4 linked regions of the Saccharomyces cerevisiae S288C genome follow. The protein of the gene in region 1 interacts with the protein of each later gene in a biochemical or structural test. Each region holds a gene or a part of one and is shown in the gene's direction. Other genes may lie near its edges. The genes, in order: SCH9, MAF1, CST6 and TOR1.

Region 1 (8,136 bases):
AGCGCCAGCGAGGAATGCTAGAAAGACCAGCCCAGGAACAATAGAAAATTACGCGGTAGGATAATCTCCTTGACGGAAAAACGCTGTGTGACACTGACTAGCCTGAAAAAATAGAAAAAAAGGAGATGCGCCCTGCAAAAAGCGCAATAACGCGCACACAAAATGTCTGGGTGAAATGTATGGATGCATAATTGTCTCGAAAATAATTGTTTAAAGAGAATAACCATAAAACAGGCTGAAAAGCAAGCACTGCTCAATGTTAGTTTCACTGGCGACTCTATCTCACCATGGTTACACTATTAGTACATTTGGTATAGACTGATAGGTTTCCGTTGTGCTTTAACGACGGGTAACGATTTATTTCTGGCGTGTTTCAGCGACTATTAATAATAAGCAATAAAGAAGGACGCGTTTTTGAATATGTATTAATGGGTCAAGAGTAACCATGATAATTTCATATTTCCATGGATTGGTTACATTCAGGGAAATAGAATGGTTTGCTGCTTATGGGTGCTTCTAGCATTGTTGCTTCATCTCGATCATGTAGCATGCGAAGACGATGCGTACTCATTCACTTCTAAAGAACTTAAGGCTTACAAGCAGGAAGTGAAGGAGCTGTTTTATTTCGGCTTCGACAATTATTTAGAGCATGGGTATCCATATGATGAGGTAAAACCCATTTCATGCGTTCCTAAGAAGAGAAACTTTGAAGATCCTACTGATCAAGGCACCAACGATATATTGGGCAATTTTACAATCACTTTAATAGATTCTTTAACCACTATTGCTATACTGGAAGACCGGCCGCAGTTTTTGAAAGCTGTTCGACTTGTTGAAAGGACATTTCCTGATGGCAATTTCGATATTGATTCCACAATACAAGTTTTTGAAATTACTATACGTGTTATCGGATCACTACTATCATCACATCTTTATGCTACGGATCCCACAAAGGCAGTGTATTTAGGGGACGATTATGATGGCTCACTGTTACGTCTCGCCCAGAATATGGCAGATAGGCTCTTACCTGCATATTTAACGTCTACCGGATTACCTATGCCACGGAGAAACATCAAACGAAAATGGGATGTCTCTGAATTTCCAGAATTTTTGGAGACAGAGAATAATGTGGCCGCTATGGCGTCTCCCATGTTCGAATTCACTATTTTATCTTACTTGACAGGCGATCCCAAGTATGAGAAAGTTACCAGATACGCATTTGATAAAACATGGTCTCTTAGAACTGGTTTGGATTTGCTACCCATGTCCTTTCACCCCGAAAAACTAACACCATATACGCCCATGACTGGAATCGGCGCCTCCATCGACTCCCTTTTCGAATACGCTTTGAAAGGTGCTATTTTATTTGATGATTCAGAATTAATGGAAGTTTGGAACGTAGCATACGAGGCATTAAAGACTAACTGTAAAAACGATTGGTTTTTTGCTAATGTAATGGCTGACACAGGGCATTTGTTTGTTCCCTGGATTGATTCTTTGAGTGCTTTTTTCTCCGGTTTACAGGTGCTTGCTGGTGATTTGGATGATGCCATAGCGAACCATTTAATGTTTTTAAAAATGTGGAACACCTTTGGCGGTATTCCTGAAAGGTGGAACTTTAGTCCTCCGGAGTTTCCCCCACTATCTCCATTAGAGCGATCGGGAGCTGTTGCTTTGGATAATATCCTCCCCTTAGAATGGTACCCATTAAGACCGGAATTTTTTGAGTCAACCTATTTCTTATATAGAGCTACAAAAGACCCGTTTTACTTAAATATTGGGGTACATCTGCTAAAAGACCTCAAGCAACGATTTAAGTCTAACTGCGGATTTGCAGGTTTCCAAAATGTAATCACGGGCGAACTGCAAGATAGAATGGAAACATTTGTGTTGAGTGAAACTTTGAAATACCTGTATTTATTATTTGATGAAGAGAACGAATTACATAACAGCGCTAGTGACGTAATTTTCAGTACAGAAGCCCATCCAATGTGGTTGCCCCAAGAAGTGAGGTCCAACTATAAACGTAACGCTAAATTTAACAACTCTGTCTACTCGTCGCACTTGGAAATTTGCCAGAAAAAGGACAGGGAACAAGCTGGAGAGAACACATTGAGCCAAAGAATTGTGGGGTTCGCCAAATCGATCTTTCATAAAGGTCCACCAGACGAAGAGGCTACTGATCCAATTATAGACTATACCATTGATACTGAACTTCCCGGTACATGCTCTATAAAGCCTCATCATGTAATTGGTGACGAATTTTGGTATTCTCCAATGTTGAGCAATTTTGACAGATTATTCGAGATTGACTCCCGGTTCGCTGCCACGCTAATTAAACCTTCACACATGCATAACTATAATGCAATTGAACTAGAACCTGGATTTTATAACAGGTGGTCCAATCCGCAATTTAGCACGTGCCTGATCCCACCCACCACCGAAATTTTCGAACTACTATTCGACCTTCCTGGATATCATCAGTTGAATCCATTAATGTTAGAAAACAAAACTATTACATTTGAAACCTTTGGAGGTAGGTCAAGGTTGAAGATCGAAAAATTGCAAATCTACCAAATTGATTACTATGGAGACTTAATCACTGCATCGACATTCCAAGACGTCTCCCGCAAGGATATTTTCTCGAATGCATGCGATGCAGTGGCAAGCTTGTATTCTCCCACTTATCTTTACAGAGTAGTAGCCATCAACGGACGCATATTGCCTCGCCATGGAAGTGTACAAATCAAGAAACATAGTCCTGTGCTCACTTCCAATGGCACAAGAGAGGAAGACGAATTCAAAATGGATGGCATCGGGATTAATGACCATTCCCAACTCATGTTAGAATGCACGCCCATCATCAACTTATTTATTGTATGAAATCACTCTTTTAGATAGACCTCTACAGCTTTTACATAATGGCACCAGTAATAAATGATGAACGATTTCGTTACCCTCGGTAAAACCGGCCAAAAAAAAAAAAAAAAAAAAAAAAAAATGTTCTCAAAGTGTAAACTTAATCAAAAGCTTATTTGTTTGTTATCTGTTTCTCATCGGTTTCGTTTGTTGCTTAAAGGGTGGATCGGTCATTTACGATAACGGTTCTTTCTGCATATTCCGATCCTTAAAGGCTTACTTATTCACATTACGGGTCCAATATAACATAGATTGTTGTGCTCAGCTCATCCATTTCGCTGGTCGCTTATATTCTCTTTTTTGTTTTATTCTTTTCTTTCCTTCAAGGTTCTTTGCAACAGCACTGAAAATAGTTACAAACAACTTTGCGCCAGTTCCCGCCTGCTTATTCTTTTTCCAGCTCTCTTCTACTTTATATACCCTTTTCGTGGTCCTTTTTCCTAATTTGCCCCTCTTCGCTTTTTATCGAAAATTTTACCCACTCTCACATAATCACCTAAGGGCATCTATTTAATAAGGTACAGTCAAAAATTTACTCTTTTGGCAACTGTTTATAAGAAGAATAAGTCTGAGAATTATACTCGTATAAGCAAGAAATAAAGATACGAATATACAATATGATGAATTTTTTTACATCAAAATCGTCGAATCAGGATACTGGATTTAGCTCTCAACACCAACATCCAAATGGACAGAACAATGGAAACAATAATAGCAGCACCGCTGGCAACGACAACGGATACCCATGTAAACTGGTGTCCAGTGGGCCCTGCGCTTCATCAAATAATGGTGCCCTTTTTACGAATTTTACTTTACAAACTGCAACGCCGACCACCGCTATTAGTCAGGACTTATATGCAATGGGCACAACAGGAATAACATCAGAAAATGCCCTTTTTCAAATGAAGTCAATGAATAATGGAATATCATCAGTTAATAATAACAACAGCAACACCCCTACGATTATTACCACGTCACAGGAAGAAACTAATGCTGGAAATGTACATGGCGATACCGGTGGCAATTCTTTGCAAAATTCTGAAGATGACAACTTTTCTTCCAGTTCTACCACCAAATGCTTACTCTCTTCCACTTCTTCGCTATCAATAAATCAACGAGAAGCAGCAGCAGCTGCTTATGGTCCAGATACCGATATTCCTAGGGGTAAACTAGAAGTTACAATAATAGAAGCACGTGACCTAGTCACTAGATCAAAGGATTCACAGCCTTATGTTGTTTGTACTTTTGAGAGTTCAGAGTTCATTTCTAATGGTCCTGAGTCACTAGGCGCCATTAATAATAACAACAATAACAACAACAATAATCAGCATAATCAAAACCAGCATATTAACAACAACAACGAAAATACCAACCCTGACGCTGCTAGCCAGCATCATAATAATAACAGTGGTTGGAACGGTTCTCAGTTACCATCGATAAAAGAGCACTTGAAGAAAAAACCCCTTTATACACACAGATCATCTTCCCAATTAGATCAGCTAAACTCTTGCTCTTCAGTAACCGATCCGAGCAAACGTTCTTCTAATTCTTCGTCGGGTTCTTCAAATGGTCCAAAGAATGATAGTTCACATCCAATATGGCATCACAAGACAACGTTTGATGTTTTGGGATCTCACTCGGAATTAGATATTTCTGTTTATGATGCTGCCCACGACCATATGTTCTTAGGCCAAGTTAGACTGTATCCAATGATTCATAATTTAGCACATGCTTCCCAACACCAATGGCACAGTTTGAAACCTCGCGTTATTGATGAAGTTGTGTCCGGTGATATTTTAATCAAATGGACTTACAAACAGACAAAGAAAAGACATTATGGCCCACAAGATTTTGAAGTTCTTCGATTATTGGGTAAGGGTACTTTTGGCCAAGTCTACCAAGTTAAGAAGAAAGACACTCAAAGAATTTATGCAATGAAAGTTCTCTCCAAGAAAGTTATTGTCAAGAAAAATGAGATCGCCCACACAATTGGCGAAAGAAATATCCTAGTCACGACAGCGTCCAAATCGTCCCCATTCATTGTCGGATTGAAGTTTTCCTTTCAAACACCAACAGATCTGTATTTGGTCACTGATTATATGAGTGGTGGAGAATTATTCTGGCATTTACAAAAGGAGGGCCGTTTTTCGGAAGACAGAGCGAAATTCTATATCGCTGAGTTAGTCCTAGCGTTAGAACATTTACACGATAACGATATCGTTTACAGGGACCTAAAGCCTGAAAACATTCTACTCGATGCCAACGGTAACATCGCTCTTTGCGATTTTGGTCTTTCTAAAGCTGACTTGAAGGATAGAACAAACACATTTTGCGGCACCACGGAATACCTGGCACCAGAATTGTTACTGGACGAAACCGGCTACACCAAAATGGTCGATTTCTGGTCTCTAGGTGTTTTGATATTTGAAATGTGTTGTGGTTGGTCCCCTTTCTTTGCGGAAAATAATCAAAAAATGTACCAAAAAATTGCCTTTGGTAAAGTCAAATTCCCCAGAGACGTACTGTCACAAGAGGGGAGGTCTTTTGTAAAGGGTTTACTAAACAGAAACCCCAAACATAGACTCGGTGCCATTGATGATGGAAGAGAACTACGAGCTCATCCATTTTTCGCAGATATCGACTGGGAGGCCTTGAAGCAGAAAAAAATTCCACCACCTTTCAAACCTCACCTAGTCTCGGAGACGGATACCTCGAATTTTGACCCAGAGTTCACAACAGCTTCAACTTCATACATGAACAAGCACCAGCCGATGATGACTGCTACCCCGCTATCTCCAGCCATGCAAGCAAAGTTTGCTGGTTTCACCTTTGTTGATGAGTCCGCCATCGATGAACACGTTAATAACAACAGAAAATTCCTACAAAACTCGTACTTTATGGAACCTGGTTCCTTTATCCCGGGAAATCCAAACTTACCTCCAGACGAAGATGTCATCGATGATGACGGGGACGAGGACATCAATGATGGATTCAACCAAGAGAAAAATATGAACAACAGCCATTCGCAGATGGACTTCGACGGCGACCAACACATGGATGACGAATTTGTCAGTGGAAGATTCGAAATATGATTTCTCAATCGCTCCTCTTGCCCTTCCTCTTCTTTTCCTTTTCTTTTTATTTTTTTCTAATTTTTCTATCTTTTATTTCTACTTCTATTATTAATTTGTATCTTCTAATCGTTTTTCCCACTTTATCGAAACATTTCTTCTATTTATATATGTAAAGTATGTATGTATTTTCGTTTTATTTAAACTCCAAAAAATGAATAATTGTTCCTGCAAATTTCTAGTTTATCACGTCTCATAATCACTGCTTATACCTCACCATTCCATTGTACTTTGACATATTTACCCCTCATCTATATATAATCAGGGCTTAAGTAAACGCTTCGCTGTGATTTCCCAAAGTCGGTTCGGAAATTATAGGTCGGTTATATCATCCGAAAAAAAAAAAAAAAAAGTTTTTCTTAAATGCATAGGTTTAAAGTCGATTAAAAGTAGGGCTAACACAAGTATAAGCAGGGTTTTGCTATAATAGGGATGCCATAAGTGAGGGCAGGGCTCATCGATGCGCGTACATGGATTTTCCGAAATTCTGAATTTTTTCTTTCTTTAACTATGAGCAAAATGTGGTCAGCTTTACTGAGCTTAACTGTCATCCCATCGAATGTGACAAGATTGAAAGTGCTTCCAGGATCTGAAACATTTGTCAAAGTTTTACTAACATTACACAGATATCCCTGGTCACCTTACTATCTTCCAACATCTTACCTAGGCTTGCTGCTTTTGTTTGGGTCATATATTTAACTCGCTCATTAGAGGACATTCTGTTTTTTCCAAGACCAACAAAAAAGCAACGAAATTGCTGTATTATTAAAGGACTGTTATAGAAGTTTTTTTATCCTCTCTTTGTTTCCATTATTCTTATTCCTATTTTTTCGTTGCTTACTTTTGATATCCACTATGAGCTTTTCCACCATAAATAGCAACGTCAATAAAACCACCGGCGATAGCAATAATAACACCACCGAGAACAGTTCGACTGCAGACCTTTTAGGAATGGACTTGTTGCAGAGCGGGCCTCGACTGATGAACACGATGCAGCCAAACAACTCTTCTGACATGCTGCACATTAACAACAAGACTAATAACGTTCAACAACCAGCTGGAAACACAAATATCAGCAGTGCTAATGCGGGAGCAAAGGCTCCAGCAAATGAGTTCGTAAGAAAACTGTTCAGGATACTGGAAAACAATGAATATCCTGACATTGTAACTTGGACTGAGAACGGCAAAAGTTTCGTCGTTTTGGACACAGGAAAGTTCACTACGCATATATTGCCTAATCACTTCAAACATTCAAATTTTGCATCTTTTGTAAGGCAACTAAACAAGTATGACTTTCACAAGGTTAAGAGAAGTCCCGAGGAAAGACAGAGATGTAAATATGGCGAACAAAGTTGGGAGTTTCAGCATCCAGAATTTAGAGTCCATTACGGAAAAGGTCTCGATAACATCAAAAGGAAAATTCCGGCGCAAAGGAAAGTGCTTTTGGATGAATCTCAAAAGGCTCTTTTGCATTTCAATAGTGAAGGCACTAACCCCAACAATCCTTCTGGGTCTCTTTTGAATGAATCCACCACAGAGCTGTTGTTAAGCAATACCGTAAGTAAAGATGCATTTGGAAATCTAAGAAGGCGAGTAGACAAACTACAAAAGGAGTTGGATATGTCCAAAATGGAGAGTTATGCTACTAAAGTAGAACTACAAAAGTTGAACTCGAAATACAATACGGTTATCGAAAGTTTGATAACATTCAAGACCATAAATGAAAATTTACTCAACAACTTCAACACTCTGTGTTCCACTTTGGCAAATAATGGTATTGAAGTGCCAATATTTGGCGACAATGGAAACCGTAACCCAACTGGTAATACCAACCCAGCAACAACAACAGCTATCCAAAGCAACAACAACACCAACAATGCTTCTCCGGCAACATCTACAGTTTCCTTACAACTACCTAATTTACCCGATCAGAATAGCCTAACACCAAATGCTCAAAATAACACAGTCACGCTACGAAAAGGTTTCCATGTACTGTTGGTGGAAGATGACGCAGTGTCTATACAGTTGTGTTCAAAATTTTTACGGAAATATGGCTGTACTGTCCAAGTTGTCAGCGACGGTCTTT
Region 2 (7,063 bases), on another chromosome or scaffold:
TTTGTGTGCTTAATCACGTATACTCACGTGCTCAATAGTCACCAATGCCCTCCCTCTTGGCCCTCTCCTTTTCTTTTTTCGACCGAATTCTTAATCGGCAAAAAAAGAAAAGCTCCGGATCAAGATTGTACGTAAGGTGACAAGCTATTTTTCAATAAAGAATATCTTCCACTACTGCCATCTGGCGTCATAACTGCAAAGTACACATATATTACGATGCTGTTCTATTAAATGCTTCCTATATTATATATATAGTAATGTCGTTAACCGTTGATTTTTACTGATTGGTCTCTGCCGTGCGGGTGAGCGGCGCGTCCAGACGGGCGGGTGCACGTTTCTTTTTCTGACCATTTCCCTGTCAGCTCTTTTAGATCGGGGCTGCCGTTTGAAAAGTTTTATCATCGCCAGACATGCCATAAGGAATATCTCCACCGCCTCTAACTGTCCCTAACTCGGTCTCTTTCTTATAACTACCATTACTCAGTGTTGAGAGATTGGTAGAAATATACGCGTATACGTTCATTCAAGACTTATTTTCAGCCAGTAATATTCCCTACTCCTCTTCCGTTTTCAGAATAGAGATGGACCAGCCAAGGACCCATTCAGGACCCACGACGGCCAGCAATCCTGCCCCCAGCTCCACCAACTCGTCATCTGCTCCCAGCGCGACTAATTCAAAGCAGGAAAGATCCTCTTCGTCACTGTCCAAACCTTCGTCAGTGGTTCCTTCAAAGGATTCACCAGATGGTGACGCTATTGCTAAGACTCAAGCAGCCGCTTTAAAAAACGACATGAAATCTGGTGATACCAGTACATTAGATGGGTCATCTCAAAATATAATTCCAAACAGAGCCTCAATGCAAAAATATATTGACCAGTCATCAGATCTGCTGTCGAGGAGCTCCGGCGTAATAACGCCCTCCATGTCTTTGAATGCAAGCACTAACGCCACTAACAACGATAGCAGTGGCAATTCAGCTAATAGTAGTGATTTGAAGATCCCTATAGACAGGGACAATACTATATTCAAGACGTTCGACACCAAGACTGGTCAATTCTTGAAAAACGATGATAATGAAGAAGAAATAAGGAGGAACAATAAAGTTGATTCGATACCCCCAAAGAATATTTATACTAATATCAACAATCCATCTCCCTCCCCACCACCGTCGTCAAAGCAACCACCGTCTGCATCCGCGCCGCAATTGCCACCAGCAACGGAACCACACAAAGAACAAGCAGCACAACAACAGCCACCAGGAAATGCTTCTAACTTTTTAAGGATCTTTTCAAATAAAAAAATGAGGTCGCATTCCGTACCCACTATTTTGCATTCTTCTTTAAGAAAATTATCATCCCACAATCAATACTATCGTAATCAAAATATTCTTTTAAATCATCCAACTCCTTCCGGCATATCAAAGAAAAAATTTTCTAGAAACCATCATCAACCATATTTGCATTCTAATAATCCTCTCAGTTCAAACCCTCTTTCATTAAAGCGCGCAATTTTTTTAAATCAACAAATATCAGGTAACGCAAGCACTAACGCTAATAATGACAACATTAATAATTCCACTGCCACTTCAATGACAAATCAAAGCTTCCTATCAAGCTCAAACTTTGACTTAACTTTGGAAGATAGAATAAACTACATAAAGGCTACTCCAACGCCTGTTCCATTTCCTCCTATAAATTTGCAGGGCTTAAAAGAGATTGACTTACAGGAAATTCTGAAAAACCCACAACTAAGACATGATATAATATTCGACCCGCTACTACAATTCAGGCCAAATCTTGATGGCGAAAGAGGGAATAAAAAAAGACAATTGGCGAATATCTATTGGAATGATGTTCAAAATGAAATTTATGTTTACTCTAAGAGGCCTGAAATATTCCAATATAACAGGTCAAGACTAGTCCCACTTTTTGACACTTTAAGGGATGTATTGTTAACGATAGTCCCACAAAAAGAGTCTCCGATGATAAATAATGTACTGGACACAGAATTGAACATTCAAGAACTATTGAAAGGTTCTCTGATAATGTCTAACTTGTCAGGCTGGTTGGCTGATTTATTTAAACATCATTGTGCCCCCATGAGGGACCCATGGGTGGATAAAATGAGCAACAAATTTAAAGAAGCTGAAAGAGACTCTTCTTTAACAAGGTTAATAGAAGGTTTAAGGTTGGTTTTTCAAATTTTGGAAACAATGAAATTGGATATTGCCAATCATCAAATAAGAATACTAAGGCCAGCTCTGTTAAGTAATGCTGTAGAATTTGAGAAACAGTATTTCAACACTCTTATAGCCTCTAAAAGGGTGAATTTAAATACTTCCCTACTTTGGTTTGATAAAAAATTCAACGAAAATGTTACCGCTGGCCTTGTTAGAAATCCAAGTTCTATCACTATCCCTGATGTCTACAATATTTGCATTAGAAGTATAATTAACCTATTGTCATGTAGGAAGATGGTGAGAGAGTACCCAACTCCGCTTTCTTTTGATCATGCAAGATTGATCCTTTTGCGTGCCGATATACGTCAAATTGTTTGTATTTTAGTTTGCCGTTTACTTTTCCAACAATTGGTGGCCAACGATCCTTCAATGGATAAAGCTACAAAGGAATATGTTATTCATACATACTCAACTAAAAGGCTGAAGAATGAAATTATCAGCATTATAACAGATGAACACGGCAATTGTAGGTGGACTAAAAACACAATGTCTATTGCTGTTCATCTTTGCAAAGTTATTGACGATCTTCACAGGGAGTACGACAACAATGGTAGTTGTGAACAAGCCAGAAGGCCTCAATTGCCTTCATTAGACAACTCAAAAATAACCTTTGCTAAATCTTGGTTATCTAAGCAAACTCAACCCCTCAGTGAAGTTTATGGTGTCCTAGAAAATAGAGTATTCAAATCACTAGAGGACGCTATCTTCAACAGGTCCGAGTGCACAATTGATGGACGCGTTAAACAAGACTTTGTGTACCTCTACAACACAAACAATGGCAACGTAGGTAGCACTAACACTTTGAGTACTACTACAGATACTGCTAGCGTTAAAATCAGCCCGTCTTTGATGTCTCCTTCTAAAACCTCCACCACCACACCTACTGGCAATGCGATTGCATCCAGAGGTTTATTCGCAGCAACAGAGCTGGAGGAATTCGAGAATGTTTATCGCCACTTATATGCATTAATCAACCTTCATTGGTCCGTATTCGGTCCTCATTATATCGAAATGTTAGGAGATAAAGTTAATAAAAAAGGAATATAACTATTATCGGTAATGGAGGAAAAAAAAATTTTTTTACCATTTCTTTATGTAACTTCATATATCATTTTTAAAGCGTACATTTCTTATAATTTCACTTCTTAAATGCAGTCACATATTTACTGCTATCAGACAAAGTAAAGCGTCGCTAATTACTTGCCTCCACGAGTTGCTTGTCAATCAGGGGCGCTTCATCTCGCCAGCGAAAGCGCGTTGTCCATCTTATTTAACAAGAGAAAAAAAAGATAATTCAACTTAAAAAGAACGTGCTATCAGCTATATAAAATGTAGACACATTATGTATCAGTGTTTCTTTAGCAATGCGAAAAATATAGGCTTAGTGTCATTTACTTAAAGTTTAGAAACTCTGCACACTTCACCAAGAACAAGTTTAACCGCTCATTACTCCAAACGGATTTTTTTGCCTAAAGAATCACGACAATGAAAGTATGTTATCACTCTAAAACTGCCATGCTCTTTATTCGAAATTACTAACATTGTACCTGAACCCTCCTTTTCTTCCTTAGTTTATTGATGAGCTAGATATAGAGAGAGTGAATCAAACTCTCAATTTCGAGACAAATGACTGTAAAATCGTGGGCAGTTGCGATATTTTCACAACAAAGGCGGTTGCATCAGATAGAAAATTATATAAAACTATTGATCAGCATTTGGATACTATTTTACAGGAAAATGAGAATTACAATGCTACCCTTCAGCAACAGCTAGCTGCTCCCGAAACAAACCAATCACCCTGCTCGTCGCCATTTTATTCTAATAGGAGGGATAGCAACTCTTTTTGGGAGCAAAAGAGAAGAATATCTTTTAGTGAATACAATAGCAATAATAACACTAACAACAGTAATGGCAATAGCAGTAATAACAATAACTATTCTGGACCTAATGGTTCTTCTCCAGCAACTTTTCCCAAAAGTGCCAAGCTAAATGACCAAAATTTAAAAGAATTAGTCTCGAATTACGATTCTGGCTCTATGAGCTCATCGTCTCTTGATTCTTCTTCTAAGAATGATGAGAGGATAAGAAGAAGGAGCAGTAGCAGTATTAGCAGTTTCAAAAGTGGTAAATCATCGAACAATAATTACAGTTCTGGTACAGCAACCAACAATGTTAACAAAAGAAGAAAATCTTCGATAAACGAAAGGCCAAGCAATTTAAGTTTGGGTCCGTTTGGTCCCATAAACGAACCGTCAAGCCGCAAAATATTTGCTTATCTGATTGCTATCCTCAACGCTTCTTATCCTGACCATGATTTTTCATCGGTTGAGCCAACGGATTTTGTCAAAACATCATTGAAAACTTTTATTTCCAAATTTGAAAACACCTTATATTCTCTTGGTAGACAACCAGAGGAATGGGTCTGGGAGGTAATTAATTCTCACATGACTCTTTCTGATTGCGTCCTTTTTCAATATTCACCTTCAAACTCTTTTTTGGAAGATGAGCCTGGCTATCTTTGGAATCTTATAGGTTTTCTTTACAACAGGAAAAGGAAAAGAGTGGCTTACCTTTACTTGATTTGCTCGCGTCTAAATTCGAGTACAGGCGAAGTGGAAGATGCCTTGGCAAAAAAACCTCAGGGAAAGCTTATAATAGATGATGGCTCAAATGAATACGAAGGAGAATACGATTTCACTTATGATGAGAATGTAATAGATGATAAATCAGATCAAGAAGAATCCCTACAGTAGTTTTAAACTTTAATTTGTGAATTTTCCTTGTCTTACACCTATAATCGTTAAAAACAGTCCCTTTATGTCTACTATTGTAAGTTTCTATTTTTAAAAAAATACCCTTTTCAACTATGTACCTTTATGACAATATTATATTTACTAATTGAACACTTTAGCGAGGATTGAATAATGTGCGCTACTATATAAAAAGACTGCCTTCATCATATATTACTGCAAAGCTCTTAGTTTCTTTCGAATACGGAACTTCAATCAGGCTGTTTCTATTCCTCGCTTAGTAATTTGATATGCAATTTGACCAGGCTTAGCGAATGTGGAATATACCACTTTCATTGTCCTCTTAACTTGCCAGAAGCTTGCCGAATCACCTCCCTTATAAAGATGAGCTTCACCTCTTTGAATTATTGTTGAAGCCTTGAAAGATTTTTGAAGTAATATTCGTGTTGAAACGTGATTGGACCAAGTCAAACCGAGATTGGGGACACGATAGTCAAATTTCCGTTTCTTACTTTGTCGACTGATAGGACTTGATGAATTTCGCTCAACGGTTTTATTCTCAATTATGGGTGGTTTCTTTTTTGAAAAAAAATCATAATTCCGGTCATTTACAGTGCTCATAACTCTCTCGATTAGCATATAATCTTCATCGTCTGATAGAATTTCATCGTTATTGGAACTTGCTCCAAGCAGCGAATTCATCTGCCGATAAAGAATGGTTGAGTTCTTCCAGCCAACTAGCCACCCTAGCTGATAATCATAATCAGTTACATATGTCCTATGTGCCACTGGACTGTTAGCCAGTGGTTTATCCCCAACTTGATTAGCCACCACAACGGATAATGAATAATCGTGGGCCAGTATTTGGAGCTTCTCTGCCATCCTATCCAGATAGTTTTTATTTTCTTGGGATTCTCTGAAGGACTTGTTCTGAAGCTCCACCCTCAAATGATGAGAAATCGAATCTATTATCACCAATTTTATTGAACCCTTAGATCTCTCTAATAAAATAGGCAACTGAACATTGATTATGTGTTCCTGATTTATTAGGTCGTTACAGCTGACGGTGAAAATATTTGATTGTGTAATACCTAGTTTTTCATAAGCCGGCCTAGACGATAGCATACTTTCCAATCTCTGAGTTGGTAAATCGCCCTCAGTGGTAATATATACACATTTGCCGCCAAGCCCTCCCGCAGGTTCGGAAAGTTGGACACTTAACGCCAACTGCATAAGTAATTGAGATTTACCAGTAGAGCTCTCTCCGAATATTTCTGTAATGCCATGCGTGAATATGCCTCCACCTAATAATTCATCCATAGCTACATCAGCAGTCGTGAAACACTCAGGACCGTTATCTGGGCTGATAGAGTTTTTTTCACAGATTTCTAAGTACTTTTCATTATATTCATGAACAAGCAATTGCTGAAATCTGAAAACCTCATTTATCGACCTTTGTATTAGCCTTGCCAATTCCTTCGGAGTGAGTGTTAAAAAATCTACGACGCAGACACCATTTTGCCTTACTGCATCCAAAAGATATGAAAATTCTTCATCATAAAGGAGTTTACTTTCCGGTAATTCATCGTAAAGGTCCATATACGTATTGTCAAATTTTATTGATAAGGCCCTAGGCATGAATTTACACACTTTGAAAAATGGTGAATTCCCAGTGGTTGTTCATCATTTTCATTTTTTGAATTCAACGCGAAAAAGCCGAAGATTAACCGGCATCTGAATTCTCATGTTACTTAGAGGATAATGTGTGAGAAGAAATAGGTAAAGGAAGAATATATTTATAATATATAGGCAATTAGACTAATCAAAATCACCGTCCGTATAAATCGTTGAATGGCTTTTCCGTGGACCGAGTCGAAAGCGTTCCGATGAATTGACTGTTCTGGACGTCGATACTACCAGCTCTCAAACCTAAATCAATAGTATGTTCCTACTATAATACACAACTCGGAATAATCGCGACTTTCAAAGAAACGAAAACTTCTGTACTTCTTTTTTTTTTCAGCACTCTTATAACTATTTTCTATACCGCAAGTCATGCGATAATAAATTCAT
Region 3 (4,943 bases), on another chromosome or scaffold:
AAATTGCGAGACCGCTCGTGGAAGGTGACGATAATACGATACTTACAACTTTAATATTATAAATATAAGCATGTGGTGGAACAATATAGTCAGGCAAACTGCTAAAAGTCCCCACTTATAAACAGTGTGTAAAAAGTACGTTTGTTTTTGCTCCTTATCCTTTATTTGGCGTTTTGACAGTGAAGACAATGCCGCTACCGATGCGTTGGTTATATTAATTCCTCGATTAATTATACCATATTTTTGAATGTCCAGTGCAAATGAAGAATTTGTATTCGTAACTTCGTATGTCGGTAGGAAATACTGACCCAGGAACTCATTAATTGAATCGCTGCCTAACAGAGGCTCAACCTGCAGGTCTATCCCCTGCCAATTTTGAGAACTCTCATTAAGATATTTTTCAAACTGAGTGTTTGTGTCGTTAACCCAAAGATTTAGGATGTCCGTTGATTGCACTTTCAAATTGGGGTCAGTTTGAAGGCTTAAATTTGCTGTAATGAACTTTTCATTCACTTCCATTTGGAAATTTTCACACAATAATGATACGCTGTCATTAATGAAACCCTCTATCGTAGTTGTTATATTTCCATCTGTCCAAACTTCCCTTTTGTATAGCGAAGGTCCCGCTCTTTTGTGGAATGTAGGCAAACTGGGTACTTCAAAGTTTGTTAATCGCGTCACTATCTGCCAATGAATTAATAACATCAAAAAACCAAACAGCCACAGGTGAGCCCCATTTGAGATTATCCACCAGTTACAGTAAAATAGTTTTGATTTTTTGACTTTTTTGTCATCGATTTTTTCTGGTTCTCTTTTAAATATTTTTTGATTGATAAGCTTTGTTAATTGGTAGGGAATTGGATAAAGTGTACTGAGATTCAGAGTAGTAATTAAGCTTTTCAAAACTTTGTTGTATTTAGTAAAATTGGTTTGTCCTGTCAGGCCATTAATTTGGGACATAACCAGGTTTACTTGCTGATTTTCCAGCTGAAACAGAATTCTTTCGATTGCCATGAGCAAAATCACAAATGCAAAGTACATGACTGTGAAAATTATTGTCATTCTCTTACATTTACGGAAAACGTGATTTTTTACTGCACTTAGTACACTGTTTTCCTCGCTATTTGTTTTCAGAGACCGTTTAATTATTGAAGTAGACGATGTAACCTCGGTACTCCCCCCAGATAAAATGGAAATTTCATTCTGTAAGTTTGCAGTAAAGTTCCTTTTCAACTGAAGCCAGTCAGTGGAATTTCGTAGAAAATTCAAACTTAAGGTACTAGAGGTATCTAATTGAGTAGAAAAGTCAGTGATAGTGCCATTGAAGTTCTGCAATGATTTCAATTTCCTTGAGTAGTTCCCAAAAATACTGTCAAACATGGAGTAATTTAACAGTAGGTTTGATGCCATTTGTGAAATGGAATCCTTATCAATGGTCATTGCGTCTTCTGATATTTCATTCCATGTGTCATTTATCAGCTGTGATTTAGTGAGTAGTTCGTTAAAAATTGTATTGTTTACCTCAAGAACTTCCTTAATCAATTCAGTTTCCAAACTTATTTGGTCGTTGATAAGTTTTTGTTTATTATCCAGTATGTCGTCTGTGTATGACTTGAATTTTTCTTGCATATCCGTACCTACCGTAGATTCAATACTCCGTAGTTTGCTTTCGAAATACTGATCAATTGTATTATCAATGAATGTTTTATTTAAAGAGTAACTGTTGGCAGAATATATGGCATGCTGTGTTGTGACTGCTGTCATTGTGGCCGTTGTTGTGGCCGTTGTTGTGGCTGTCGCTGTAGCAGTTGAAATAGATGCAAAGGTTGAGACGGTATCATTTCGTTTGACCTGTGCGTGAGACATTTTTGCCATTGTAATGTCAATGACTGAAAAGGAACCCCAAATAGTTAAAATAACAGAAGTAAAGAATATCAGTAATAGAGGATGGAAAATACAACTAAAAAACCTCTGTGGAAGTGATAAAGGTTTAATTATGTGTACATTGTTCATCTTTGCCGTACTCTTAGTTTTATCGAAAAGTGGTGTAGATTTTCAGCTACTTAAGCCATGTTAGTGTTCTAGTTTTTTGCTTTACATGTTATATAAAGGGCCAAGATAGCATATGTAAATGTTTTATTACTGGGCTGAAACATTTTTAAAACATTTTTCAATAATGTGCTGTTATAACCGTACAAGGACGGTTATAATTCTGAATTAAAATGCTGCACCGAATGAAAATACCAATGTTCTTCCAAACCTATTGGCGAAAATTAAGATAAGCTGTCGCCTCTATAATCAAGAATAATCTCAACTATTATAAATATTATTCCCAGAAGTTGAAATTGTGACACATTTGAGTAATATCACCTTACACGGAACATAGTTGCCCCCTTCTCCGAAATTGCTGACAATGATAATCGGGGATTCAATGACAATGACAATGAAGGCAAAAGATTTTCATATTGTACTCTTGTTTTTTGAGTTATCACTTTCAAGTACCTTCTTGTTAACAGAAATAGAACCGCTATAGAGGTTATCGTGTATACGTATCTGTTGGTGTTTCTAAATCAAAAACTCGCTTTTAAAGCAGTCTTTCAATTGGAAGATTCAAAAGGATCTAAAAAGATCTAAAGTAGTAAAGAAAAAAGTATAAGCCCACACCTTTTTGGTAGGATAATGTTTACTGGTCAGGAGTATCATTCCGTAGACTCTAATTCCAACAAGCAAAAAGACAACAATAAACGTGGTATTGATGACACATCAAAGATCTTGAATAATAAGATACCGCACTCTGTTAGTGATACTTCTGCCGCCGCCACCACCACTTCTACTATGAACAATTCTGCTTTAAGTAGATCCTTAGATCCTACTGACATAAACTATAGCACAAATATGGCTGGTGTGGTTGACCAAATACATGATTATACTACTTCCAATAGAAATTCTTTAACCCCACAATATTCTATTGCAGCTGGAAACGTCAATTCGCATGATCGGGTTGTTAAACCCAGCGCCAATTCAAACTATCAGCAGGCTGCATACCTTCGACAACAGCAACAGCAGGATCAGCGACAACAGTCACCCTCTATGAAAACTGAAGAGGAATCCCAACTCTACGGTGATATTCTGATGAATTCTGGTGTCGTACAGGATATGCATCAGAATCTGGCCACTCATACAAATCTGAGCCAACTGTCGTCTACCCGTAAGTCCGCTCCGAATGATTCTACTACAGCCCCGACTAATGCGTCCAACATCGCCAATACGGCTTCTGTGAACAAGCAGATGTATTTCATGAACATGAATATGAATAACAACCCACATGCCTTGAACGATCCATCCATCCTGGAAACATTGTCGCCATTTTTTCAACCTTTTGGTGTTGATGTAGCACATTTACCTATGACGAATCCACCAATTTTCCAAAGTTCTTTGCCTGGATGCGATGAGCCAATTAGAAGAAGAAGAATATCAATCTCTAACGGTCAAATAAGCCAGCTAGGCGAAGATATTGAAACTTTGGAAAACCTGCACAACACACAGCCGCCCCCGATGCCCAATTTTCACAATTATAATGGTCTGAGCCAAACTAGGAATGTATCAAACAAGCCGGTCTTCAACCAAGCAGTGCCGGTTAGTAGTATTCCACAATACAATGCAAAAAAAGTTATTAATCCCACGAAGGACTCCGCATTGGGTGATCAGAGCGTTATTTACTCGAAAAGTCAGCAGCGAAATTTTGTAAACGCGCCATCAAAGAATACTCCAGCGGAGAGTATAAGTGATTTGGAAGGCATGACGACGTTTGCGCCAACTACTGGAGGTGAAAATAGGGGCAAATCTGCACTTAGGGAATCTCACTCTAATCCTAGCTTCACTCCAAAATCTCAAGGATCTCATTTAAATTTAGCGGCGAACACACAGGGAAATCCAATCCCTGGTACTACGGCATGGAAGAGAGCAAGATTGTTAGAAAGAAATCGAATTGCAGCTTCGAAATGTAGACAAAGGAAAAAGGTTGCGCAGCTGCAGCTCCAAAAGGAATTTAACGAAATTAAAGACGAGAATAGAATTTTACTGAAAAAGTTAAATTACTATGAAAAACTAATCTCTAAATTCAAGAAATTCTCCAAAATTCATTTACGTGAACATGAAAAACTAAATAAAGACTCAGATAATAATGTTAATGGCACTAATAGTAGCAACAAAAATGAAAGCATGACTGTGGATTCATTAAAGATCATTGAAGAACTTTTAATGATCGATTCAGACGTTACAGAAGTGGATAAAGATACTGGTAAGATCATAGCCATCAAGCACGAGCCATACTCTCAACGTTTCGGAAGCGATACTGACGATGACGATATAGATCTCAAGCCCGTAGAAGGTGGTAAGGATCCAGACAACCAATCATTACCCAATTCTGAAAAGATAAAATAACAAAGTTTTGGTGAGCACAACGGTGTTTCATTCAAGAATGATAAGGACAACTATATATGTAATATACGTGTATAAATACTCGAGCTGCATCCTTTCTTTTCTGCCGTTATTATTTCGTTTAGTTACTACATTTATGGTATAAATTACCTTTAAGACATTATTATTTTGCATGTATGAAATTTGCTCGTGTCAACCCCTTAGTCCTCCTTGCCTCTGTTGTATGGAGGAAGCCCTTTAAACCTGTATTTAGTTTTTTAAATCTATTAGAATTAAGTACAATTGTACAGATGGTAAAAAAAAGTAATCGTTATATCGTTTGTCAGTGATTTTTTTTTTTTTATTTCATTCATTATTTATTTCTTATTTTTCAATTTGTTCCCTTATTGGGGCAAACCACGGGTGTCCCATCGCTTCCTTAGCAGTTAATCTTTCTTGATGATCATATCTCAAAAGATTGTCAATAAGGTCAATAATTTCATCGTTGCCGCTTAAATGTTTAT
Region 4 (11,298 bases), on another chromosome or scaffold:
TTTGAAGAAGAACGAACTGAAAGACGGCGCTACTATCAAGGAAAAGTGTCCTCAGTGTGGAAATGAAGAGATGAACTATCATACTTTACAGTTAAGATCTGCAGATGAAGGTGCTACTGTCTTCTATACATGCACTTCCTGTGGTTACAAGTTCCGTACCAACAATTGATTGGGTTGTGTTCGCACATATTACAATTTGTACATTAATATCATCCCCGCTTTCATCATGTGAACATCTATAGAACATCATTTATAAAAACAAAAAATCTATGTACTGACGATATAATAGCGTACATTATCATATTATTCTTACTATTTATCATACTCATCGCATCTACTGTTCTCGAGAACGTGTAAAGTGATTTATGCCATTGAATGAAAAATTTTGTTAAGGAACAACTAGAAATATAATAGTGTCTTGGTGGATGTGGCAAATGAGGTGTGCGTGATAAAGAGCTACAAACTCAAAGTAATAACAGCTATCATCCATTTTTATAGCAATATTTGAAAATGGCTGCTCGTCCACAACAACCTCCTATGGAAATGCCGGATCTGTCGAACGCCATTGTGGCACAAGACGAGATGGGTAGACCCTTTATTATCGTGAAGGATCAAGGTAACAAGAAGAGACAGCACGGATTAGAGGCCAAGAAATCACATATATTGGCTGCTAGATCAGTAGCTTCTATTATCAAAACTTCGTTGGGTCCCCGTGGGTTAGATAAGATCTTGATTTCACCTGACGGTGAAATCACCATCACTAACGATGGTGCTACAATTTTGTCCCAAATGGAGCTAGATAATGAGATTGCAAAGTTGTTAGTACAACTTTCCAAATCTCAAGATGATGAAATTGGTGATGGTACTACTGGTGTTGTTGTTCTGGCAAGTGCGCTACTTGACCAAGCATTGGAGTTAATTCAAAAGGGTATACATCCAATCAAAATCGCTAATGGATTTGATGAAGCCGCCAAATTAGCCATTTCCAAGTTAGAAGAAACATGTGACGACATTTCTGCGTCAAACGATGAATTGTTCAGGGACTTTTTATTGAGGGCCGCCAAAACTTCTTTGGGCTCCAAAATTGTTTCCAAGGATCATGATAGATTTGCTGAAATGGCTGTGGAAGCCGTCATAAATGTCATGGACAAAGATCGTAAAGACGTGGATTTCGATTTAATCAAAATGCAAGGACGGGTTGGCGGATCTATAAGCGATTCAAAATTGATTAATGGTGTCATTTTGGATAAAGATTTTTCTCATCCACAAATGCCTAAATGTGTTTTACCAAAAGAGGGCTCTGATGGTGTTAAGTTAGCTATATTAACGTGTCCATTTGAACCTCCTAAACCAAAGACCAAGCATAAATTAGACATTTCTTCAGTAGAAGAATACCAAAAATTACAGACTTATGAACAAGATAAGTTCAAAGAAATGATAGACGATGTGAAGAAAGCGGGCGCAGATGTTGTTATATGCCAATGGGGGTTTGACGATGAGGCCAATCATCTACTTCTACAGAATGATTTACCTGCCGTAAGATGGGTAGGTGGCCAAGAACTAGAACACATTGCCATTTCCACAAACGGTCGCATTGTTCCAAGATTTCAAGACTTGTCTAAGGATAAATTAGGTACATGTTCCAGAATTTACGAGCAGGAGTTTGGTACTACTAAGGATCGTATGCTGATTATCGAGCAAAGTAAAGAAACAAAAACTGTAACATGTTTTGTTCGCGGTTCCAATAAAATGATCGTGGATGAAGCTGAACGTGCATTGCATGACTCACTATGTGTGGTACGTAACTTGGTTAAAGACTCACGTGTAGTTTACGGTGGGGGAGCAGCCGAAGTGACTATGTCCCTGGCTGTCTCTGAGGAAGCTGATAAGCAACGTGGTATTGATCAGTATGCATTCCGTGGATTCGCCCAAGCGTTAGACACCATTCCAATGACTTTGGCTGAAAATTCTGGTCTTGATCCAATCGGAACTTTGTCTACATTGAAAAGTAAACAACTGAAAGAAAAGATTTCCAACATTGGTGTCGATTGCTTAGGTTACGGGTCTAATGACATGAAGGAACTATTTGTCGTTGATCCATTTATTGGCAAAAAGCAGCAAATTCTTTTAGCTACTCAATTATGTAGAATGATTTTAAAGATTGATAACGTCATCATTAGTGGTAAAGATGAGTATTGATTTTGTATAAATAAATAATAAAAGATAAGTTTTAATCACATATCCCACAATTTTTTTTCTCAGATCAGCATTTGGGGTTACTTGATTGTACATATACGTGTATATAATCAGTTGTATACGTATATTTAAATGAAGTGAGGGGCGTTTCAGTTATTTGCATTTGTTTTTGTACCTTTTTCCTTATAAGATGAGTCATGACTCAATAATCAAACCATGTTGAAAAGGCTGAAATTTCTAACAATTTCCGGACCATATTCCTCATAATCTTTCTTAGTGTGACAGTAGCCTTTGAATTCGGCTGTTTGTGCCAGCAGCGAGCCACCAAACCAGACAGCGTTTCTCTGCTTCCGATGAGAAATCACGGAAACATCTACACCAGTCGATTTAGTTCCACTTAACAGCTCACTTTGTGCGATTCTGTTATTTACGATAGACTTTAGATCTCTTTGTAAACGACGTCCAAAATCTTTGAACATGGTAGACCCACCTGATAGTACAATATTGTTGTATAAACCTTTACGGACGTCAATAGGGCAAGCCTGGATAGTTTGATCCACTACCGTGGGTAAAGGAGTCAAGAAGTCTGAGGATGCAATTTCTGGATTGAAGAAGATTTCAGGTGCTAAGAATCTTTCGTAACCAATATCTACGACTTTTCTCCTTGTCTTTTCTTGGTTTTCCACCACAAATTGGGCAAATTTAGAAGGATCTTTATCGAATTTGTTAAACTCCTTTACAATATCTGGACAGACGTAACAGTATTCTTGCTTAATCTTTTCGGCAGTTCTCAAGGAAGTGTCTGCTTCACCACGTTCTCTTAGCAAGGATTGGATGAACAATGTGATGTCTCTACCGGCTATTGGAATGTTTTTAATTGCTGAGCCAATGACGTAACCTTCCGCCACTGGGATGACGTGGGTGACACCATCACCAGAATCTATAACAGTACCAGTTAATGATCTATCCGTGACTTTTGAAGAGGTCCATGACGCAGCCAGAGCCAAAACTGCTTGCACAGCAATATATAGACCAGCACAATTAAATGATTCAAAAAAAATCTCCGCCACTTGCTCTCTGTTTTCTGGAGGATTCAGTGGTGGTTCGGTCAATAGGAAAAAATGATCTTCAGGCTCTGTTCTTAAATACTTGAAGATGGAATTTTCCCAGAATCTTTCCATGTGATCCCAATTTTCCACTTGACCGTGTCTGATTGGATAGCTCAAAGAGTAAGAGGGTCCTTGGGATGCTACTAAAGCCTCATTTCCAATATAGAAATCCAAATCTTCTGTACCTCTTTTACCGGATAAATTATTAGACAGCAAACCACCTGTTGCACCATTGAAATTGGTTGCAGAGGTGGAATTTCCAAAGTATGATGCTTCATTACTAACTGCTGAGGGCGCACCAACGCCCGAGGACTTCTTTGTATTTGAAGGTGCAGCTGTGGCTATTGCAGTAGGGAAGACCCAGGAGGGAGAATCATTACCGGCGAAACCGAGCTTGGTCAGCCCGGTACCATTGTCCATGACAACAGCGGGATTGTTTAAGTATGACATTGAATCCTAATTTCTTGCTCAATCGTGAGGCCTTACGGTAGGGCCAATTCTTGATTAAACTACTCTCATATATTTTTGTTTGAAACTTTTGAAAAGGGGTTCTCGCCATTTTGAAGCCGCGGACAGCCGGGTGACTACTGAAAGTCCTTATCGAAGGGTCTTCTTGAGCTTACGTTAAAAAAGAGCCATAGTAGCTTCACGAGAGAGTCATTGGTAAAGTGAAACATACATCAACCGGCTAGCAGGTTTGCATTGATATGGAACCGCATGAGGAGCAGATTTGGAAGAGTAAACTTTTGAAAGCGGCTAACAACGATATGGACATGGATAGAAATGTGCCGTTGGCACCGAATCTGAATGTGAATATGAACATGAAAATGAATGCGAGCAGGAACGGGGATGAATTCGGTCTGACTTCTAGTAGGTTTGATGGAGTGGTGATTGGCAGTAATGGGGATGTAAATTTTAAGCCCATTTTGGAGAAAATTTTCCGCGAATTAACCAGTGATTACAAGGAGGAACGAAAATTGGCCAGTATTTCATTATTTGATCTACTAGTATCCTTGGAACATGAATTGTCGATAGAAGAGTTCCAAGCAGTTTCAAATGACATAAACAATAAGATTTTGGAGCTGGTCCATACAAAAAAAACGAGCACTAGGGTAGGGGCTGTTCTATCCATAGACACTTTGATTTCATTCTACGCATATACTGAAAGGTTGCCTAACGAAACTTCACGACTGGCTGGTTACCTTCGAGGGCTAATACCTTCTAATGATGTAGAGGTCATGAGACTCGCTGCAAAGACTCTGGGCAAGTTAGCCGTTCCAGGAGGTACATATACCTCTGATTTCGTGGAATTTGAGATAAAGTCTTGCTTAGAATGGCTTACTGCCTCCACGGAAAAGAATTCATTCTCGAGTTCGAAGCCAGACCATGCTAAACATGCTGCGCTTCTGATTATAACAGCGTTGGCAGAGAATTGTCCTTATTTACTCTACCAATACTTGAATTCCATACTAGATAACATTTGGAGAGCACTAAGAGACCCACATTTGGTGATCAGAATTGATGCGTCCATTACATTGGCCAAATGTCTTTCCACCCTACGAAATAGGGATCCTCAGTTAACTAGCCAGTGGGTGCAGAGATTGGCTACAAGTTGTGAATACGGATTTCAAGTAAACACATTAGAATGCATCCATGCAAGTTTGTTGGTTTATAAGGAAATCTTGTTTTTGAAGGATCCCTTTTTGAATCAAGTGTTCGACCAAATGTGTCTAAATTGCATAGCTTATGAAAATCATAAAGCGAAAATGATTAGAGAAAAGATTTACCAGATTGTTCCCCTATTAGCATCGTTCAATCCTCAATTATTTGCTGGCAAATATTTGCACCAAATTATGGACAACTATTTAGAGATTTTAACCAATGCTCCAGCAAATAAAATACCACATCTCAAAGATGACAAACCACAGATTTTAATATCGATTGGTGATATTGCATATGAAGTCGGGCCCGATATCGCACCTTATGTGAAACAAATTCTTGATTATATTGAACATGATTTACAGACGAAATTCAAATTCAGAAAGAAATTTGAAAATGAAATTTTCTACTGCATCGGAAGATTGGCAGTTCCCTTGGGCCCCGTTCTAGGTAAATTATTAAACAGAAATATACTGGACCTGATGTTCAAATGCCCTCTTTCCGACTATATGCAGGAAACGTTTCAAATTCTGACTGAGAGAATACCATCACTAGGCCCCAAAATAAATGACGAGTTGCTTAACCTAGTCTGTTCAACCTTATCTGGAACACCATTTATCCAGCCAGGGTCACCAATGGAGATACCATCGTTTTCGAGAGAAAGAGCAAGAGAATGGAGAAATAAAAACATCCTACAGAAAACTGGTGAAAGTAACGATGATAATAATGATATAAAAATCATTATACAAGCTTTTAGAATGTTAAAAAATATCAAAAGCAGATTTTCGTTGGTGGAATTCGTGAGAATTGTTGCACTTTCTTACATTGAGCATACAGATCCCAGAGTAAGGAAACTAGCTGCGTTGACATCTTGTGAAATTTACGTCAAGGATAACATCTGCAAACAAACATCACTACACTCTCTGAACACTGTATCTGAAGTGTTATCAAAGCTTCTAGCCATTACGATTGCGGACCCTTTACAAGATATCCGTTTAGAAGTTTTAAAGAATCTTAATCCATGTTTCGATCCCCAGTTGGCACAACCAGATAATTTGAGACTCTTGTTTACTGCACTGCACGATGAGTCGTTCAATATTCAGTCAGTAGCAATGGAGCTTGTCGGTAGGTTGTCTTCCGTAAACCCTGCATACGTCATCCCATCGATAAGAAAAATACTACTGGAACTGCTAACAAAATTAAAATTCTCAACTTCTTCTCGAGAAAAGGAAGAAACTGCCAGTTTGTTATGTACTCTTATCAGGTCGAGTAAAGATGTTGCGAAACCTTATATCGAACCTCTTTTAAATGTTCTTTTACCAAAATTCCAAGATACCTCTTCAACGGTTGCATCAACTGCACTGAGAACTATAGGTGAGCTATCTGTTGTAGGGGGCGAAGATATGAAGATATATCTTAAGGATTTGTTTCCTTTAATTATCAAAACATTTCAGGATCAATCAAACTCTTTCAAGAGAGAAGCTGCACTTAAGGCCCTTGGTCAACTTGCAGCCTCATCTGGTTACGTGATAGATCCTTTACTCGACTATCCCGAATTATTGGGTATATTGGTGAATATATTGAAGACAGAAAACTCTCAAAATATTAGGAGACAAACAGTCACTTTGATAGGTATACTGGGAGCTATCGACCCATATCGCCAAAAAGAACGTGAGGTTACCTCTACTACCGATATATCTACAGAACAGAACGCCCCGCCTATCGACATTGCTCTTCTCATGCAGGGCATGTCTCCTTCGAATGATGAGTATTATACCACTGTTGTCATTCACTGCCTGCTAAAAATCCTAAAAGATCCATCCCTATCATCTTACCACACTGCCGTGATCCAAGCGATTATGCATATTTTTCAAACCCTTGGTCTAAAATGTGTTTCATTCTTGGACCAGATCATCCCAACTATTTTGGACGTAATGCGTACATGCTCTCAGTCACTATTAGAATTTTACTTCCAACAGCTTTGCTCTTTGATTATTATCGTAAGGCAACACATAAGACCTCATGTCGATTCTATATTCCAGGCTATCAAAGATTTTTCTTCGGTTGCTAAGCTACAAATAACGCTTGTAAGTGTTATTGAAGCAATATCAAAGGCTCTGGAGGGTGAATTCAAAAGATTGGTCCCTCTTACTCTGACCTTGTTCCTTGTAATTTTGGAGAATGACAAGTCTAGTGACAAGGTCCTCTCCAGAAGGGTATTGAGACTGTTAGAATCGTTTGGTCCTAACTTAGAAGGTTATTCGCATTTGATTACACCCAAGATAGTTCAAATGGCAGAATTCACCAGCGGGAACCTACAAAGGTCTGCAATAATTACTATTGGCAAACTGGCCAAGGATGTTGACCTTTTTGAGATGTCCTCAAGAATTGTTCACTCTTTACTTAGGGTACTAAGTTCAACAACGAGTGACGAACTCTCAAAAGTCATTATGAATACTTTAAGTCTACTGCTAATACAAATGGGCACATCCTTTGCTATCTTCATCCCTGTCATTAATGAAGTTTTAATGAAGAAACATATTCAACACACAATATATGATGACTTGACAAACAGAATATTAAACAATGATGTTTTACCCACAAAAATTCTTGAAGCAAATACAACGGATTATAAGCCCGCGGAACAAATGGAGGCAGCAGATGCTGGGGTCGCAAAATTACCTATAAACCAATCAGTTTTGAAAAGTGCATGGAATTCTAGCCAACAAAGAACTAAAGAAGATTGGCAGGAATGGAGCAAACGTCTATCCATTCAATTATTAAAAGAGTCACCCTCCCATGCTCTAAGAGCTTGTTCAAATCTTGCAAGCATGTATTATCCACTAGCCAAAGAACTTTTTAATACCGCATTCGCATGTGTTTGGACCGAACTTTATAGCCAATATCAAGAAGATTTAATTGGGTCATTATGTATAGCCTTATCTTCTCCCTTAAATCCACCAGAAATACATCAAACATTGTTAAACCTGGTAGAATTTATGGAACACGATGACAAGGCATTACCAATACCAACTCAAAGCCTGGGCGAGTATGCTGAAAGATGTCACGCCTATGCCAAAGCGCTACATTATAAAGAGATTAAATTTATTAAAGAGCCTGAGAACTCAACTATTGAATCATTGATCAGCATTAACAACCAGCTGAATCAAACGGATGCTGCAATTGGTATATTAAAGCATGCCCAACAACATCATTCACTTCAATTAAAGGAGACATGGTTTGAAAAATTAGAGCGTTGGGAAGATGCACTACATGCTTATAATGAACGTGAAAAGGCAGGTGATACTTCCGTGAGCGTTACACTCGGTAAGATGAGATCCCTTCATGCCCTTGGCGAATGGGAACAGTTGTCGCAATTGGCAGCTAGAAAGTGGAAAGTTTCGAAGCTACAAACTAAGAAGCTAATAGCTCCCTTGGCAGCTGGTGCTGCGTGGGGGTTGGGAGAGTGGGATATGCTTGAGCAATATATCAGCGTTATGAAACCTAAATCTCCAGATAAGGAATTTTTTGATGCAATTTTATACTTGCACAAGAATGATTACGACAATGCTAGTAAGCATATATTAAACGCCAGAGATTTGCTTGTGACTGAAATTTCCGCGTTGATCAATGAAAGTTATAATAGAGCATATAGCGTTATTGTTAGAACTCAAATAATAACAGAGTTTGAGGAAATCATCAAGTATAAACAATTGCCACCTAATTCCGAGAAAAAACTTCACTATCAAAATCTTTGGACAAAAAGACTGCTGGGCTGCCAAAAAAATGTCGATTTATGGCAAAGAGTGCTTAGAGTAAGATCATTGGTAATAAAGCCCAAGCAAGACCTGCAAATATGGATAAAATTTGCAAATTTGTGCAGAAAATCTGGTAGAATGAGGCTAGCAAATAAGGCATTGAATATGCTACTAGAAGGAGGCAACGATCCTAGTTTACCAAATACGTTCAAAGCTCCTCCCCCAGTTGTTTACGCGCAACTAAAATATATTTGGGCTACAGGAGCTTATAAAGAAGCATTAAACCACTTGATAGGATTTACATCCAGGTTAGCGCATGATCTTGGTTTGGATCCGAATAATATGATCGCGCAAAGTGTCAAACTCTCAAGTGCAAGTACTGCTCCGTATGTTGAGGAATACACAAAATTATTAGCTCGATGTTTTTTAAAGCAAGGTGAGTGGAGAATAGCAACACAACCGAACTGGAGAAACACAAATCCGGATGCAATTCTTGGTTCTTATCTATTGGCTACACATTTCGATAAAAATTGGTACAAGGCATGGCATAATTGGGCCTTAGCTAATTTTGAAGTAATATCCATGGTTCAGGAAGAGACTAAGCTCAACGGAGGTAAGAATGATGATGATGATGACACGGCAGTTAATAATGATAATGTGCGGATTGACGGTAGTATCCTAGGAAGTGGTTCTTTGACTATTAATGGCAACAGATACCCGCTAGAGCTTATTCAAAGACATGTTGTTCCAGCGATCAAGGGCTTTTTTCATTCAATATCTCTATTAGAAACAAGTTGTTTGCAAGACACGTTGAGGTTATTGACTCTTTTATTTAACTTTGGTGGTATTAAAGAAGTCTCACAAGCCATGTATGAAGGCTTCAATTTGATGAAAATAGAGAACTGGCTTGAAGTCTTACCACAGTTGATCTCTCGTATACATCAGCCAGATCCTACGGTGAGTAATTCCCTTTTGTCGTTGCTTTCTGATTTAGGGAAAGCTCATCCACAAGCTCTCGTGTATCCTTTAACTGTCGCGATCAAGTCTGAATCTGTTTCAAGACAAAAAGCGGCTCTTTCAATAATAGAGAAAATTAGGATTCATAGTCCAGTCCTGGTAAACCAGGCAGAATTAGTTAGTCACGAGTTGATCAGAGTAGCCGTTCTATGGCACGAATTATGGTATGAAGGACTGGAAGATGCGAGCCGCCAATTTTTCGTTGAACATAACATAGAAAAAATGTTTTCTACTTTAGAACCTTTACATAAACACTTAGGCAATGAGCCTCAAACGTTAAGTGAGGTATCGTTTCAGAAATCATTTGGTAGAGATTTGAACGATGCCTACGAATGGTTGAATAACTACAAAAAGTCAAAAGACATCAATAATTTGAACCAAGCTTGGGATATTTATTATAACGTCTTCAGAAAAATAACACGTCAAATACCACAGTTACAAACCTTAGACTTACAGCATGTTTCTCCCCAGCTTCTGGCTACTCATGATCTCGAATTGGCTGTTCCTGGGACATATTTCCCAGGAAAACCTACCATTAGAATAGCGAAGTTTGAGCCATTATTTTCTGTGATCTCTTCGAAGCAAAGGCCAAGAAAATTCTCCATCAAGGGTAGCGACGGTAAAGATTATAAATACGTTTTAAAGGGACATGAAGATATAAGACAAGATAGCCTTGTTATGCAATTATTTGGTCTAGTTAACACTTTGTTGAAGAATGATTCAGAGTGTTTCAAGAGACATTTGGATATCCAACAATACCCGGCTATTCCATTGTCGCCTAAATCTGGTTTACTAGGATGGGTACCAAATAGTGACACATTCCACGTTTTGATCAGAGAACACCGTGATGCCAAAAAAATTCCGTTGAACATTGAACATTGGGTTATGTTACAAATGGCCCCCGATTATGAGAATTTGACTCTTTTACAAAAAATTGAAGTATTCACGTACGCTTTAGATAATACAAAAGGCCAAGACCTTTATAAAATATTATGGTTAAAGAGTAGGTCGTCAGAGACATGGCTAGAACGTAGAACAACTTATACGAGATCTTTAGCAGTTATGTCCATGACTGGTTATATTCTGGGACTAGGTGATCGCCATCCAAGCAACCTGATGCTAGATAGAATCACCGGTAAAGTTATCCACATTGATTTCGGCGATTGTTTTGAAGCTGCCATCTTAAGAGAAAAGTATCCAGAAAAAGTGCCATTTAGACTAACTAGGATGTTAACATACGCAATGGAAGTTAGTGGAATTGAAGGCAGTTTCCGAATTACTTGTGAAAATGTCATGAGAGTCTTAAGAGATAATAAAGAATCATTAATGGCGATCTTGGAAGCTTTTGCGCTTGATCCTTTGATCCATTGGGGATTTGATTTACCGCCACAAAAACTTACTGAGCAAACTGGAATTCCTTTGCCGTTGATTAATCCTAGTGAATTATTAAGGAAGGGGGCAATTACTGTCGAAGAAGCGGCAAATATGGAAGCAGAACAACAAAATGAGACCAAAAACGCCAGAGCAATGCTTGTTTTGAGACGTATTACAGATAAATT

What was found.
Region 2: of the proteins of SCH9 (region 1) and MAF1, one has a biochemical effect on the other in vitro, tested with the Saccharomyces cerevisiae proteins (5 studies listed by BioGRID).
Region 3: the proteins of SCH9 (region 1) and CST6 form a complex in vitro, tested with the Saccharomyces cerevisiae proteins (one study listed by BioGRID).
Region 4: of the proteins of SCH9 (region 1) and TOR1, one has a biochemical effect on the other in vitro, tested with the Saccharomyces cerevisiae proteins (6 studies listed by BioGRID).

The regions. Positions count from the first base shown.
Region 1 is NC_001140.6:505,827-513,962, forward strand, and holds SCH9 (serine/threonine protein kinase SCH9), read left to right. Parts: upstream 1-3,536; coding exon 3,537-6,011; downstream 6,012-8,136. Other genes in the region: alpha-1,2-mannosidase MNL1, read left to right, coding at 493-2,883; kinase-regulated stress-responsive transcription factor SKN7, read left to right, coding at 6,906-8,136. UniProt on the Saccharomyces cerevisiae protein: Protein kinase that is part of growth control pathway which is at least partially redundant with the cAMP pathway. Regulates both BCY1 phosphorylation and MPK1 activity.
Region 2 is NC_001136.10:454,766-461,828, reverse strand, and holds MAF1 (RNA polymerase III-inhibiting protein MAF1), read left to right. Parts: upstream 1-3,725; coding exon 3,726-3,731; intron 3,732-3,811; coding exon 3,812-4,993; downstream 4,994-7,063. Other genes in the region: SOK1 (Sok1p), read left to right, coding at 582-3,287; putative DNA-dependent ATPase RAD57, read right to left, coding at 5,246-6,628; YDR003W-A (uncharacterized protein), read right to left, coding at 6,925-7,047. UniProt on the Saccharomyces cerevisiae protein: Mediator of diverse signals that repress RNA polymerase III transcription. Inhibits the de novo assembly of TFIIIB onto DNA.
Region 3 is NC_001141.2:282,987-287,929, forward strand, and holds CST6 (Cst6p), read left to right. Parts: upstream 1-2,679; coding exon 2,680-4,443; downstream 4,444-4,943. Other genes in the region: pheromone-regulated protein PRM2, read right to left, coding at 43-2,013; casein kinase 2 catalytic subunit CKA1, read right to left, coding at 4,804-4,943. UniProt on the Saccharomyces cerevisiae protein: Transcriptional activator of promoters containing ATF/CREB sites. Can independently stimulate transcription through ATF/CREB sites. Important for a variety of biological functions including growth on non-optimal carbon sources.
Region 4 is NC_001142.9:555,404-566,701, forward strand, and holds the start of TOR1 (phosphatidylinositol kinase-related protein kinase TOR1), read left to right. Parts: upstream 1-4,012; coding exon 4,013-11,298. Other genes in the region: DNA-directed RNA polymerase I core subunit RPA12, read left to right, coding at 1-169; chaperonin-containing T-complex subunit CCT5, read left to right, coding at 511-2,199; ARP3 (actin-related protein 3), read right to left, coding at 2,406-3,755.